2 linked regions of the Diceros bicornis minor genome follow. The protein of the gene in region 1 purifies or fractionates together with the protein of each later gene. This does not show direct contact. Links are inferred from orthologs where the notes say so. Each region holds a gene or a part of one and is shown on either strand. Other genes may lie near its edges.

Evidence for each region. The genes of interacting proteins can lie anywhere in the genome.
Region 2: the proteins of TRIM47 (region 1) and FBP1 purify together in Homo sapiens (affinity purification with western blotting; 3 studies listed by BioGRID). This does not show direct contact. The link is inferred for Diceros bicornis minor from reciprocal best matches to the Homo sapiens genes TRIM47 and FBP1.

What each region holds. Positions count from the first base shown.
Region 1 is NC_080757.1:56,271,487-56,279,041, reverse strand, and holds the start of TRIM47 (E3 ubiquitin-protein ligase TRIM47), read left to right. Parts: upstream 1-4,476; 5' UTR 4,477-4,502; coding exon 4,503-5,165; intron 5,166-6,255; coding exon 6,256-6,351; intron 6,352-6,636; coding exon 6,637-6,867; intron 6,868-7,047; coding exon 7,048-7,246; intron 7,247-7,555. UniProt on the Homo sapiens protein: E3 ubiquitin-protein ligase that mediates the ubiquitination and proteasomal degradation of CYLD.
Region 2 is NC_080761.1:5,705,769-5,712,932, reverse strand, and holds the start of FBP1 (fructose-1,6-bisphosphatase 1), read right to left. Parts: upstream 3,073-7,164; 5' UTR 2,971-3,072; coding exon 2,801-2,970; intron 1-2,800. UniProt on the Homo sapiens protein: Catalyzes the hydrolysis of fructose 1,6-bisphosphate to fructose 6-phosphate in the presence of divalent cations, acting as a rate-limiting enzyme in gluconeogenesis. Plays a role in regulating glucose sensing and insulin secretion of pancreatic beta-cells.

The DNA.
Region 1 (7,555 bases):
ATATTGTTCTGCGGGAGTGGTCTGTGTTGTGACTATTAACCTTTATTTACGTATGGCGAGAGGCTGCTGCCATCTTTTACAGAGTGTGCTATGGAGCAGTGCTTCTCAAGTGAGTGCAGGGGCAAGCATTTGCAAATCTCTCAGAAGCTACTTCAAATTAAATTCACTCAGTCTACCTGATTCTCACAGAACACTCCATCTCCTCTCCAGAAAAAATGCATTGATACACAGGGGAAAAGAAGGATAGACTTTGGGGTGTAACATTTGTAAAGGGAACACGTGATTAGCCTATGGGTGTTTCCAGCATTTCTGCCCCGCTCCACACAGTTTCTGGGCTTCTGTGAGGCAGAGTCAGGAGGATGGGCACACAGACAGAACAAGGGCAGGGGAGGGTGGGAGTGATTCTAAAAGACGGGCCTTCGGGGCCTTTGGGGCCAGTGGAGTTGGAGGGAGTTGGTCACCAGAGAGGTGAGGAGTAGAGAGAATAGAGGCTGCTGTTCTCCAGGCAGGAAGGGAGCAGCATGGTGACGCTAGGGAATGGGGATTCGAGTAGTATGAGACTGGAAGCTAGAAGATAATGGAGCTGTGCCTGTGAGACTCTGAGGGGAAAGGATTTCCATTCTAGAATTCCATGCCCAGCCGAACTGTCAATCAAGGAAGAAGCCTGAACAAAGGCACTTGCAGACACTTCCGCATCCATTCTCAGAAAGCTCCCAGAGCACGCACTTTTCAGAAATAAAGAAGTAAAGCAATGAAGAGAAAGGAAGACCTGGGATCCCAGCAACAGGGAATTCAACAGAGAAGTGAAGAATCTACATCTCCAGAAACACGAAACACGGGCACAAACATCCACACAGGTGTTCAAGGCTTGTAAGCACGTGCTTTAGAGATGTGGAGGTAAACGCTATGGAAAATAGTTAAAAGAGTTGAAACCAGTTGTCCCTGGGAGCAAGAATTTGGAGTGGGTGGGACACGGGACTGCCAGTTTTTGTTATTATACACCTCATTAAATTGTTTACTTTTTAAATACTCTAAATACATTATTTTGAAATAAATACAAATCAGATTTTTAAAGATACACCAAAAGCGTAAAGAAAAAGTGCTACCTTGGGACATGGCTTGGACTCCATTTCAATTTCTTTTTTTTTTTTTTTAATTTTATTTATTTATTTTTCCCCCAAAGCCCCAGTAGATAGCTGTATGTCATAGTTGCACATCCTTCTAGTTGCTGTATGTGGGACGTGGCCTCAGCATAGCCAGAGAAGCGGTGCGTCGGTGCATGCCCGGGATCCAAACCCGGGCCGCCGGTAGTGGAGCGTGCGCACTTAACCGCTAAGCCACAGGGCCGGCCCACCATTTCGATTTCTTTCAGAGATGCAAGCAAAGCTGGAGTGGCTTGCTAATTACTCTTGTTTGCTGGGCTGCTTTTGCCTGTTTGTTTTTGCTTTTGTTTGACTTTTTTTTTTTTTTTTTTTAAGCAATACTGCAGCCAGACAGGGTCATATATGAGGTTTAGGATTATTTTCAGATTGCACCTTCTGGGTTGAAATTCTGCCTCCTCCGCAGGACTAGTTATGTGACCTCCAGCAAGATATGTAACCTGTTGGAATTCCACTTCTCATCCCATGCCACAGTCCTTGCAAGGGCAGAGTGAGATGCAGGCAGGAACATGCCCCTACAGACCTCAGAAGTGCCAGTTACCCTTGCCCCTTAAGAGCCAATTTATTTCAAAAAGAATTAATATATTGAGCAACTTTAAAACTATGATAATGGAAATAAAATATAAAAATGCCTCCACCCTGACAAATCACATCTCCGCGCTTTCCTGGGGGAGCAGCTCTTCCCCAACAGGCTGTGGGGTGGGGAGCAGGGGGCCAGCTGGAACTTGTCTCTGAGCAGCCCCCAACCGGAGTGGCACCCCCCTCCCCTCCAGAACCAGGCGGGGCTGTGGTCTCAGCAAGCCCAGGCAGCCTGGCTGCCAAGCCTCGGAGCAGGATCAGTGCAGATGCCTGAGCCTCCAAACTGTTCCTGGGTCTTGGCAAACAAGGGACGGTCATGATCAAGTGCTCCTTGTGGAAACCAACGTATGGAACTCATTACCAGTCTTCCTGCCAAACTGGCCACACCCAGGCCGGTTCCCTCTGCTACTCCTCTGCCCGGAAGATCTTTTCCCACCCTAGTTTCTGCACGCCTGAGTCCTAGCAGGACTAGTGAAAGCCCAGCTCAAATGCCACTTCCACCACTTGGGCCTCCATGATTCACCACTCCTTCCCTTGAATCCCCCAGGAGTGGATCGCACCTCTCTTTTAACATTTAATAGGTCTTAGTTTTCTTCCCTCCTTCCAGGAAAGACGTCAGGGGGATCTGCATAGCATCTTTCTAAATTAGACATTCTTAACTTGGGGTCTTGGGGGGAAATTATCTTTATTTTCACTATTCTCTAACTGAAATTTAGCGTTTCTTGCTATTATGAATGGAGAAACCACACCACAGTGGTATTAGCAATACCTGTGACTTGTCACCACTAGAAATTAGATATTTTCCTAGCACATTACAGTGGTGACAGAGAACTTGAAACGTTGTTTATGTTCATCACTATTTCAAAAACACAGTAATTATTAGATCTCCATCAGATCTTGTTATTTGTGTTAAAGAAACATATATAACTTTATCACAAATTTGTTTTCTTAATATTTTGTACCTGAATTTCAATGTAATTGGTTTCCATGGAATCCCATGTATTTTGTTTTGTACACTTAAAAGCCTTACTTTGAAAAGGGATCTGTAGGCTGCACCAGGCTTGGGGAGGGGCCCTGGCACTTGAGAAAGGTTAAGCCCCACTTCTAGGTGGATGGCCCCTGCTCACCCCTTTATTCCGCCGGCTTTGGCCCTCACCAGCAGGAGGTCTGCAGGCCTGGGGGTGGGAAGGATTGCCTCAATTATTCTATATTTTTAAATGAACTTTTAATTTTAGAATACTTACAAATTTACAGAAAAGTTGCAAAGATAATTCAGAGTTCCCATGTACCTCACCCCCAATTTCCCCTTTCATTAACATCTTACTTGTCTATGGCACATTTGTCACAAAGAGCCAATACTGATACATTCTTATCCACTATATTCCATAATGTATTCAAATTCCTTACTTTTTCCCTAATGTCCTTTTTCTCATTCAGGAGCCCATCCAGGGTACACATTACATTTAGTTTTCGTGTCTCCTTAGGCTTCTCTGGGCTGTGACAGTTTCTCAGACTTGCCCTGTTTTTGATGACCTCGACAGGTCAGAGGTTTTCTAGACCGTTCCTCAAGTGGGATTTGTCTGATGTTTTAATCATGATTAGACTGCAGTTATGGGTTTTGAGGGAGGAGGACCACATCATATCAAGGGTGCTTACTATCAACATGACTTATCCCTGTTGATGTTGACCTCGATCACCTGGTTGAGGTAGTGTTTGTCAGGTTTCTCCACTGTACAGTTACTCTTTTTCTCCCTTTTGAAGAAAGTTACTATGCAGAGCCCACCCTGAAGGAGTGGGAAGTTACGCTCCACCGTGGAGTATCTACAAAAATTATTTGGAATTTTTCTGAATGGGAAATTTGCCTCTTCTCCCTCACTTATTTATTTATCCAGTCATTTATTTATATCAGCAGGGACTCAGGGATGTTTATTTTATACTTTGGGTTATAATCCAAGGCTGCTTTAGTTATTTTGTTGCTGTTTGTTTTAAACTTAACATTATCGAGGTATATCTTACATAGAATACAATGCACCATTTTAAGTGCATAATTAGATGAGTCTTAAGAAGTGCCTCCACCTGGGGAGCCCCCACCCCTCACGCTACCCACACCGCAGGGGCTCAGGAGTGTCCATGGACCCAAACTCAATTCCTCAGACAAGGACTTGAAGGATTACATCAACTTCCCATTTCAGGGTTAGAGAAGCCCAAGTTCCCCGCCGGGGGTAAACAGAGTCGCTAAGGGGCAAAAACATGCGCACATCAGCAGTTATTTTTCTCTGCAGTCAGCAGCCCAGGAACTTTGCTAACAGTGCCACAGAGGGTCTGGAGCGCGAAGCTACTGGGTGACAGTGGGGTGGCCTGGCCATGGCGTGGGGGAGGATAGAGGGATAATGCAGGGGTGAATCCCTTCCCAGCTTCCTTCCAGTGTGTCCTCAGCATTCTCTGCCCTCCGCCCTCTCTCGCACAGCCCTTTCGGCAACGCCCTCCCCTCAGACCTCACGGGCCGCCGGGCCCAGGAGGGGCGATCGCCCAGGAGCCCCTCGGAGTCCGGCGGGGCCCAGAGGCCGCCCTGCGCTGTCTGGGCTGGGGCCGGGTATTTGGGGACCGGCGGGCGGGCCTGTGGCGCTGGGGGGCGGTCCGAGCCCGGGACAGAAGTGGGCCGAACCCTTGGCCTCCGTCCCAGGGGGTGGCGCCGCGGCACGAACGGTCCGGGTCCCTCCCAGGCGGCAGCAGAACAGGCGGTGGCCCGGAGGCCACGGAGCTATGGACGGCAGCGGGCCCTTCAGCTGCCCCATCTGCCTTGAGCCGCTCCGGGAGCCGGTGACGCTGCCCTGCGGCCACAACTTCTGCCTCGCCTGCCTGGGCGCGCTCTGGCCGCACCGCGGCACGGGTGGCGCCGGCGGGCCCGGAGGCGCGGCCCGCTGCCCGCTGTGCCAGGAGCCCTTCCCCGACGGCCTGCAGCTCCGCAAGAACCACACGCTGTCCGAGCTGCTGCAGCTCCGCCAGGGCTCGGGCCCAGGCTCGGGCCGTGGCCCGGCCGCCGAGCCCGCGGCGCCCAGTGCGCCGCCCAGCACCTCGGAGCCGTCGGCTCCCTGCGCGCCCGAGCCGTGGCCGGCGGGCGAAGAGCCGGTGCGCTGCGACGCGTGCCCCGAGGGCGCCGCCCTGCCCGCCGCGCTCTCCTGCCTCTCCTGCCTCGCCTCCTTCTGCCCCGCGCACCTTGGCCCACACGAGCGCAGCCCTGCGCTGCGCGGACACCGCCTGGTGCCGCCGCTGCGCCGGCTGGAGGAGAGCCTGTGCCCGCGCCACCTGCGGCCGCTGGAGCGCTACTGCCGCGCGGAGCGCGTGTGCCTGTGCGAGGCCTGCGGCGCCCAGGAGCACCGGGGCCACGAGCTGGTGCCGCTGGAGCAGGAGCGCGCGCTCCAGGAGGTGAGGTGCGGGCACCGCGGGCGGGCCAGGGCGGGTGACGGACGGCCGCGCGAGCCGGCCGAGGGCCCTGGACTGCCCCTCTCACCCTCATCCTTCCAGGGTTGGGTCTTAATTTCCTCCTGTAACGTGAGGATCTTTGCTGCCCCTTCCAGCCGTGACAGTGTCATCCGCTCGCTGTGGGACATTCCGTTCGAGATGGGAATAGGGGGCTGAAGGGACCCAGTGAGAACGCGTAAAGGCCGTGAAGGGCCGGCAGGAGCCTGAAGCCGGGGCGGGGCCGATGGGGGGACTAAGGCAGGAGGGGGCCGGGTTAGGCCGGCGGGGTCCCAGGCGGCTGATTCTGGCAGCGCGGCTGATGCGCCCGGCCGGGGTCGGGCTCAGCTCAGATTTGCCCTGGGCTGGGACTGGGGGTTTGGATGGGTGTGGCAGGCGACAGGAGTGCCGCAGAGGGTAGGCCGAGCACACAGACCGCTCTGTCCAGCTCTTCCGGGGGCCGGTGGTGGGAGCATGTGCGCGCAGTCCGTCCAGCTACCTCCGCCCCCAGTTTCCTTTGGCCTCCAGCCCGGTCTTGGCGCCTCTGGCCTTGGGATTTTCCGTCTCTCCTGGCTGGAGCAGTGATTCATAAAACCCAAGGGATTTGCCTGGAATTCCCTTTTTTCAGGCCTGGATTGGGGACACAGACTCTTTGGGGACAGGGATCCCCAGGACAGCTGAATGCCCTCTTGTGCAGCACTCCTCACTCTCTATCATTCTCTGCCTCTTCCTCTGAAGGAAGTTCTCAAACAAATGTGAGCAACATTGAGGACCATGGATGGCCTTGTACTTGCCTACTGGTCAGAGAAGGGAGGCAGACAAAACCCCACCTCCCCACCCCCAACCAGACTGTGCTCTCCCTAGGCATTTGGAAATGGCACCAGCCTGGGCTTGAGACACCTCTGACATATTATGGGACATCATGGCCACTCCCAGTCCCACCTATGCACAGATACCACGCTGGGGTCACTTCTCTCCTCCCTCTGGTAAAGCCTGGGACCCCAGTGCAAGGCTGTGTCCTCTCCAGACCCCATACTCAGGAAGGTGTCATCCACAGGCGGAGCAGCCCAAAGTCCTGAGCGCTGTGGAGGACCGCATGGACGAGCTGGGCGCCGGCATTGCACAGTCCCGGCGCACGGTGGCCCTCATCAAGGTCAGACCCCACGCTACCCTGGTCCCTGTCCACTCCTGCAGCAGGCTCCTGAAAGTGTGAGCTTTCGTCGTGGCACGGTCCACTCCAAAGAAGCCTGTGCTCAGGGCACTGTCCGGCCCTGCTGAGCACAAGCATCTCCTCTGGCCTGGCATAGATCCAGGGCAGCTCGGGCTGGTCCCTCTGTCTCTCCAAGAGGGCAGGGTGGGAAGGTGAGGTCTGGGAAGGATAGGGCCAACACAGCGCAGTTCTTTGCCTTCATCGCTGCCCCACTGTTGTCCTATGCAGAGTGCAGCCGTGGCAGAGCGGGACAGGGTGAGCCGGCTGTTTGCCGAGGCTGCAGCAACCTTGCAAGGGTTCCAAACAGAGGTGCTGGGCTTCATCGAGGAGGGGGAGGCCCTCATGCTTGGCCGCTCCCAGGGCGACCTGCGGCGGCAGGAAGAACAGCGCAGCAGGCTAAGCCGGGCCCGCCACAACCTCAGTCAGGTCCCTGAAGCCGACTCGGTCAGCTTCCTGCAGGTGAGGGCAGCTTTTTGGGCCAGAGAGGGCACAGAAGGGGGGGTAGGCAGGAGGTGGAGGGAAGAGAAGGCAGTGGGTGCCTGGCCTTCAGGGCTGTGCCAGCCTCCCGGCAGAGCTGTCTCACCCCAGCCTGGAGGAGCTGTGGCCAGCAGGGCCTTAATGGGTATTTATCTGGCACAGGAGCTCCTGGCACTCAGGCTGGCCCTGGAGGAGGGGTGCGGCCCTGGGCCCGGTCCTCCAAAGGAGCTCAGCTTCACCAAGTCATCCCAAGCTGTGCGGGCAGTGAGAGACGTGCTGACTGTGGCCTGCACCAGCCAGTGGGAGCAGCTGCGGGGGCTGGGCAGTGACGAGGATGGGCTGCAGAAGCTGGGCACGGAAGGTGGGTGCCCCCCGAAGTGACTCACTCTTCCCCAGTCTCCCCGCACAGGCCCCCAGGCCTGGTGCCCATTCAGGAGTGGAGAATAGAAACTGTGCCTGGTGCAGGGTAGGACACAAATCCTGCCAGGGACCAGAGCCACCACCCTGTAATGACCAGTCAGCCCCTTTGGCCACAGCCTAGGGGGCAGAGGGGCTTCTCCTAGCCCACTCTCTAGCTCCAGAGGGGCTGAGACCCAGGGGCCAAGTGGAGCAGGGGGCAGAACCCAAGGCCCAGGCGTGCATGTGAACACAGGGTGCCATATTTGGGCGT
Region 2 (7,164 bases), on another chromosome or scaffold:
TAGCGGTTAAGTGCGAGCGCTCCGCTACTGGCGGCCCGGGTTCGCATCCAAGCGAGCACCGACGCACCGCTTGTCCGACCATGCTGTGGCAGGCGTCCCACATAAAGTGGAGGAAGATGGGCACAGATGTTAGCCCAGGGCCAGTCTTCCTCAGCAAAAACAGGCGGATTGGCATGGATGTTAGCTCAGGGCTGATCTTCCTCAAAAAAAAAAAAAAATGTAATAAATAGATGAGATTTAGAGTTGGGTGAGCTTTAACTGATTTCTAAAGAATAAAGGAAGTGATGTGCGGTATGGTGAAAAGAGCCCCAACCTGGGCCACAGGCCAGTTCACCTCATCCTCCCTGGCCTCAGGGTCCTCATCTGTGCAAAGAGGGGCTGGACTAGGGGACTTCTGAGTCTTTCAGCTTATAATTTTATGATTCTGTGAACATCTGATTAGGAGCAATGAAGATGGCTACAACAGAAACTGTTGGTTGACAGAGAGAGAGAGAGAAAGAGAGAGAGCAAGAGAGCGCCCCGGGCTCTCTGCTTAAACTCCTGATGTGTCCCTGATGAGAAGTCACGGCTGAGCTCCATAACTGGTTCCTGGGAGGTTCCTGCAAATCCGCAATCATCTTGTCCCTCTGGATACATGCCCTTCTAGGGCAAGCCTTCAGCATTAACCAGGTATCTTCAAGCAACCTGGCCTTTTCATCCAGGATATCAAAGCCGATAATGAGTGTAATTTGGAGGCCTGACTTGAGATCTTGTCTCACTGCTGCCTGCCAGACTGACTGCATGTCATACTGAGACAGCCAAACTCTTATTTTCCCACAGGAATACTTAAGTGTCTAGGTTCTGGTCTGCCCCTGTCAACTACCCACACGACCAGCAATCAACACCTGTTTACGGGTACTGTTTGAAATAGTCAAAGACCTGTGAAATGCCCAAACATAGGGAAATAGTTAAATAGCTCAGGATATGTCCTTGCAGTGGAAGACTACGCAACAGTTAAAAAGAAAGAGGTGGATTTATATGTCCTGACATTGAAGGATGTTCATAATATATTGGTGAATGATGAACGCGAACTGCAGAAGAATATGTTAAGTGTGATCTCATTTTGTTTGCTATTTACAAATAGGCCTATGTAAATACATATCCATGTATAATTTATATGAGTATAAAGAAGTATCTGGGAAAATAACCAGTAAATTACTAATAGTGGATACCCCGGGAAATGGATATGAGGTGGGTTTCCCTTTGTGTTCTTTCAAGTGGTCTGAATTTTTGCAACTTATTAAGTGGTTTATAATTATAACAACAATATGGTTTTAAAACCGGGTATTTACAACTATCTGGTCTAAAAATATACGTATTTTACATAGCCAGAATTAGCACCCTTGCCCAGGACCCACTATCAAAATCCCACTCTCTAAGGTCCCACTATGTGAGGTTACTTAACAGGTGGGAAAGATACAGCTCAAAGCAGATCTTGTGTTTCTGATTCTCTTTGGGGTTGTGAAAGGTACTGATGTATTTTTAAAACAATACAAGAAATGACAAGCACTCTTTTTCAAAAAGCCCCCTGGTCCTCAAAAGCAGGTAAGGCTGTGAGGACACCTGTACTTGTTGCAGATTAAATGTGAAGTAAGATTTTAAGTGAGTGTGTTTCCTAAGCAAAGGCTCCTTAGAAATGTACTCTTAAGAGGGGCTATGGGTGAAATAGTGATGGAGTCACCACCTTCCTAACATACCTGTCCCAGTCTCTCTCCAACAAGGCCCGTCCCTGCTTGACATCTGAAAATAAATATGAACACACGCTCCTTAAGAGTTAGCTCCACCAACCCAAACTATGGGACCCAAGCCAAACAGCTGACCAGAAACGGCATCCAGGCTTCAGGCATTATACTTTTTCAGATCAGCTATGACTATCATGCACAATTTTTATAGTGTTCCTAAGTGTGGGAAATGTTAGGAGGGAGTGTGGGCAATCTGAAAAGCCACGTACCTTTCAGTTACAGTGAGGACCAGTCTAAATATAAAATACTTGTGCACAGCAGAATAACCCAAAGGGTATTGTGTTACTTACAAAAAGCCTCACAAGAAGGTGACCTTTGAATTCCCATGTCCCCTGATTCCTTTGCTACACAGTGTGATCTGCAGACCAGCAGCATTAGTACCACCTACCGCAGAAGAACTTCCTAGAAATGCAGAAACTCAGGCCCCACCCCACACCTACTGCAGCCCTTTGCACACCGGCATTGCTGCTCCTGAGAGCTCTGGGCCTGCAGGCTCCCTCCCAGCCTGCCTCAGGGGCCCCTGGCTCCTAAAAGAACTTGTAGAGTCAAGGAGATACTGGATTAGAAATCTGACTTGGGACCTCCGTGCCAAAGAGAGTGAAGGAGGTCAAAGAAGAGAAAAGGAAAGAAAGGCACCCACTCCACGACTTTCCTGTATGAGGCTTGATGGGTACGGCAGGCAGGCCAGGTGCCCACCCCGGCCAATCAGTTTCACCAGGAGGAAGCTGAGAGGGGTGCCAAGGCAGGCTGCTCAGTCCAGGGGAGAGGACTGCAGGATGGAGGCAGGTGTGGACTGGGAGACAGGTCCCCAAGTGGGAACCCCAAGCTCAAGAGAGCCAGAACCAGGGCTTCTGAAGAGAGGGGCTACCAGAGAGAGAGGGAGAGACCCCCAGCTGTCAGACAGACAGACAGGCTGACAGCAGGAGGGCCGGATGACTAGATATCAGACTGCCAGGTAGACCCCCAGCCGGACAGACAGACAGACAGGGTGCAGCGGGGCGGCCGCAGGCCTGACTCACAGGTGCGCAATGCCCGCCTTGCGCACGGCCGTGGAGATGGCTTTGACCGCGGTGCAGAGCGAGTTGAGCAGCTGGGTCATCTCGCCCGTGCCGCGGGCCTTCCTGCCCTCCTCCATGACGAAGCGGGTCAGGGTGACGATATCCGTGTCGAAGGCCGCCTGGTCCGTCATGCTGGGGCCGGGCTGCTGCGCGGGGCGGCAGGTGCGGGCGGCGGGACGCGGCGGGACGGAGCGACGGCCGAGTGTCTGCACCCCTCGGAGCCTAAGTGGCCCAGGCCAGGTCCCCGCCGCCGTGTCCCGGGGGAGCCTATAGGCGCCAGGTCACTGCCCCCCGCCCCGGAACATCTCCGCCCACGCCCCCGCCCCCTCGACTGCCGCCCCGCCCCTCCGATCCCCGGTGACGTGGGGGACCCGGGTCGCCGCCCCCGCCGCCCCCTCTGCTTCCTCCGCTGTGGCCCCCAGCCCCCGCGCCGCTGGACTGCCGCTGGCGCCGTGGACATCGCTCTGGGTCACCTGCGTTACCTCCTTCAGTCCCCACGGCGACCCTGGCGCGCAGGTGCAGTCAGGATTTTCCCCCAAGACGTGAAACGGAAGTTCGGAAGGTGAAGGAAGGCGATCCCCGCGACGCAGCTAGCCCGGGAGGACGCGGGCGCTGCGGCCCGGCCCCGCGGCCTGCTCTCGGCACGTGGGTCTGACCGCTGCCGTCCCCGCCCCCATCGTCGCCACCTGTCCCTGCTCCCTGCCCTCTGTCCCCCCTGCTTGGCCTGTCACCTGGCTCTTCTGACCAACCTCAGGAGACGTGGATTTCCATGTCCCTCACCTGTCTGACCGCCCATGTCTGGATCCTTCTAATCCAGGCCTCTTCCTCTCAAGGTTCCTGTAATTCCAGAGCTGTTGGGAACCGTAGTTTCCGACATCTGCGTTTTGCAGAGGAAACAGTGGCAGACACAGAGAAGTGTCTCCTGGGTGCTGAGGCCAGAAGTCTCTTAGCCCACATCTTGACCGCTGTGTAGCCACCACGCTGCTCTCCTCCCGCAGTTCATACGCTGATCCAGGGAACAGCATTTATGGAGCACGTACTGTGTGCCAGGCACTGCCCCATGCACTGGGATACAGCCTGAACAAAGTAGAGAAAGCTCCTGCCTGCTTGACCTTACCTTTTAACAGAGAGACGGTAGAAAATAAACAAACACTAGGTTAGGATGTTAGCTGAGCCAGAAGTGCTATAGAGAAAAATGAAATAGGGAATGGAGACAGGGAGCGCTGGGGCAAGAGTTGCATAGAGTAGTGAGGAAGAACTTCACTGAGAAATTGACATTTGAGCAAAAAGCAGGAGGGTGTGAGAGAGCAGCTGGTGGAGATTGAGGAAGTATCTTCCACAGAGAGAAGAGCAAGTGCAAAGGCCCTGAGGTGTGAGGGTTTGTGGCATGTTTGAGTAATGGCCTGGAGACCAGTGGAGCTGGAGTAGAGCTATCCAGGGGGTGAGAGAGAGAAGATAAGGCCCAAGAGGGGAGGGGAGGATAGAGGTGTGAGGCCTGGAGAGCCAAGTAAGGTTTGACTTTGCCTCAGAGGAAAACCACTGGAGAGTTTCCAATAGTGGGGATGGGTGATCTGCCCTTTGCTTTCATACTCTGGCTGCTGTGTTAAGATGAGACCTAAGAGAGAAGACAGATGCTTGACTGAGAGCTGGTGATCCAGCAAGGTAGCAGTGGGCATGATGAGAACTGACTGCTTCCTGGATTGAAGGTAGAGCTGACAGTTTTGTTTACAGATGAGATGTGAGGAAGGACAGTTCAGGATGATTCTAAGGGTTGGAGCCTGAGCAACTGGAATGTTGGAGTGGCCCTCGACCAGGAAGACCAGGAGGGGCATACACTGGGGGTGTGGTTGAAGATTAGGAATTAGTTATGGGATACACTAGATTTCAAATGCCTATTAGACATCCAAGGGAATGTCAAGTAGACAGCTGGATTTGTGACTCTGGAGTTCAGAGGAGAAGTGGACGCTGGAGATATAAATTGGAAAACCTCACTGATGAATGGTGTTTGGAGCCATGAGACTGGAAGGGATCACCAAGGAAGGGGTCGGCTGAAAGCCAAGAGGTGTGGCACTCAGGAAGCCAAGTGAAGAATGTGAGTCAAGGAGCAGGGTTGACCCGTGTGCCAAATGCTGCAGACGGGTCCAGCAAGATGAGACCTGAAAGCTGACCGCTGGATTCAATCGTGGGGACCCGGCGTGCTGCTGCTTGTGCCCAGGGTTGTCAGGTGGGGGAGCGCTGGATGCGGGAAGGGGTCGTACCACCAGGAAAGATAGTTACTGTCTCCTCTTAGCCCAAGGGGGCATTGATACCACTGCAGAGAGAGCAGACCTCTTGAGGGTCCACTTAACTCTTTGCTCAGGCAAGTTGCTCAGGCAACTTTTCAGGAGAAACACTGCAGGGTGTTAAAAGGAAAAAAAACACCTCAGAAGAGAAATGTTTCCTCGAATATAAAATCTGAAACGTGATGACTAATATTTTTGGCCTAGCACTTGTTAACAGCAGCTCTGTTCAAGACTTTGCCCCTTCACGTGTCAGATGTGTTAGTCCGCAGGAGCTCAGGTTGGCTAGGATCGGAAAAGTCGTCTAGTCCAACCCAGCCCTCCTGAAGTTTAATCCCTTGCAAACTGTCCCTGGAAAGAGGTGAAGAGCTCAGGATGGGGGTTGAGCAGGCCCGCTGGATTCCCAGCTTCCAGCCCTCATAGCCTGGTACCCAATCCCTCTAATCCCAGTTTATTTGTCTGTAAGGTAGGATGATTGCTTGAGCTGGCGGGAGTGTCATGAGCATGACATGAGATGATGTTGGCAGAGTGCTCAGCTCCAAGCTGGACACAGAGGATGCACTGAATACATGGAAGAGACCTCTGTCTAGCTCAGTTATTGATCCCTGTCACCCACAATAATGGGAAGCCCACCACCTACAAGGCAAACCATCCCCCTTAGGAACCGGCCACTTGGCATAGTGGTGAAATGTGCAGACTCTAGAGCTGGACCACCTGGGTCTGAGTCCTGGCCTTGGCCCGTACTGGCGGTGAAAGCCTGTGCAAGTTCCTGATCTCTCTGAGCAACATTTTGTTCCTCTGTAAATTGGGGCTAATGATTGTGGCCATCTCGTTGGATTCTACAAGCGATGCAGGTAAGGTGTTTACGAACTCTGCCCAACCTGTAGTAAGTACATGCTACGGAAGTCTTTCATTCATTATACAGATAGTGTCAGCTGGTGTTTTCATCTGAACAGAAGAAAGAAAGTTCCTTTGCCATCAAAAGGGGGCTGAAGGGACATGAGAATGGATAGCCTCAGCCTATATTTACCTGTTGTGCAATTATGTCCCCCCCATCATGTTGGATAACTCTGACGAGTCCTCTTCGGGTCAAGATGCATAAACTCATCACCTGGGTGTTAGCCAGAGACCAAGGATGGTGCAGGACCAGGGGAAGGCATTCACCTTGTGCATGGTTCTCCACACGTGGGATTTCTCCCTCCCGCTGTCACCCACCCCATTGCAGAGTTGCTCTTTGCTGGCTGCAATGATTTCTCCTCCTCTCGCATCACAAAACACACTCCGATTCACACAATACTGCAGGTTCGAGTCGTGTGTGCGATATTACCAATTTTGTAATGGCTGTGAGTCCTGTACAGAAACAGGCACCACCCATTTCCTCACCAGGCTCCAGCCCCAGGAGGTCAGCTCTGGTCTGTGTCAGAGACAGGAAGTTGAGAAGTAACAGTCTGGACCATCACTCACCGCCCCCGCCACCCACCCCTGAACCCAGCCTTCTGCTTACTTTTCCCTCAGGAGGGCAGTTAGTGACATGGAAAGAAATACCAAGTGAGGGCTCATGAGAAAGGGATTGTAGCAGTGTGGCCCCTCCATAAGTGAGTGCCCGGCTCCTGTGGCCACAGTGCCCTCGTGTAGGTACTGGAGACAAGACCCGTAATCTCTGGAGCGACAGAAACTAGACAGCCACACAATGGAGCGAACACCTGTGTAGCTCTTGTTAAATGCACAGCGCTCCCAGGGGGCTACAGACACAGCCTTTCACCAACCAACACCCTATGCTGTGGTTCTCTCATGCTCCTCTCTCTACAGATGAGGGAACTGAGGCTTCTTAAGGTCAAAAACTTGTCCAAGGCCTGTGGCCAGCCAGGAAGTGGCAGAGCCAAGACTCAAACCCTGGTCTATCTGATTCCAAACCCCGCATTCCCACTGGCCTGCTGGTTCCCTGCTAAGTGCAGCCGGCTCCGTGGCGAGGCTGAGCCTGTCCACTGCAGCTTCAATAATACGCATTCCGAATTGTCCACCCATTGGCTCTAGAGCTGCTTCTTA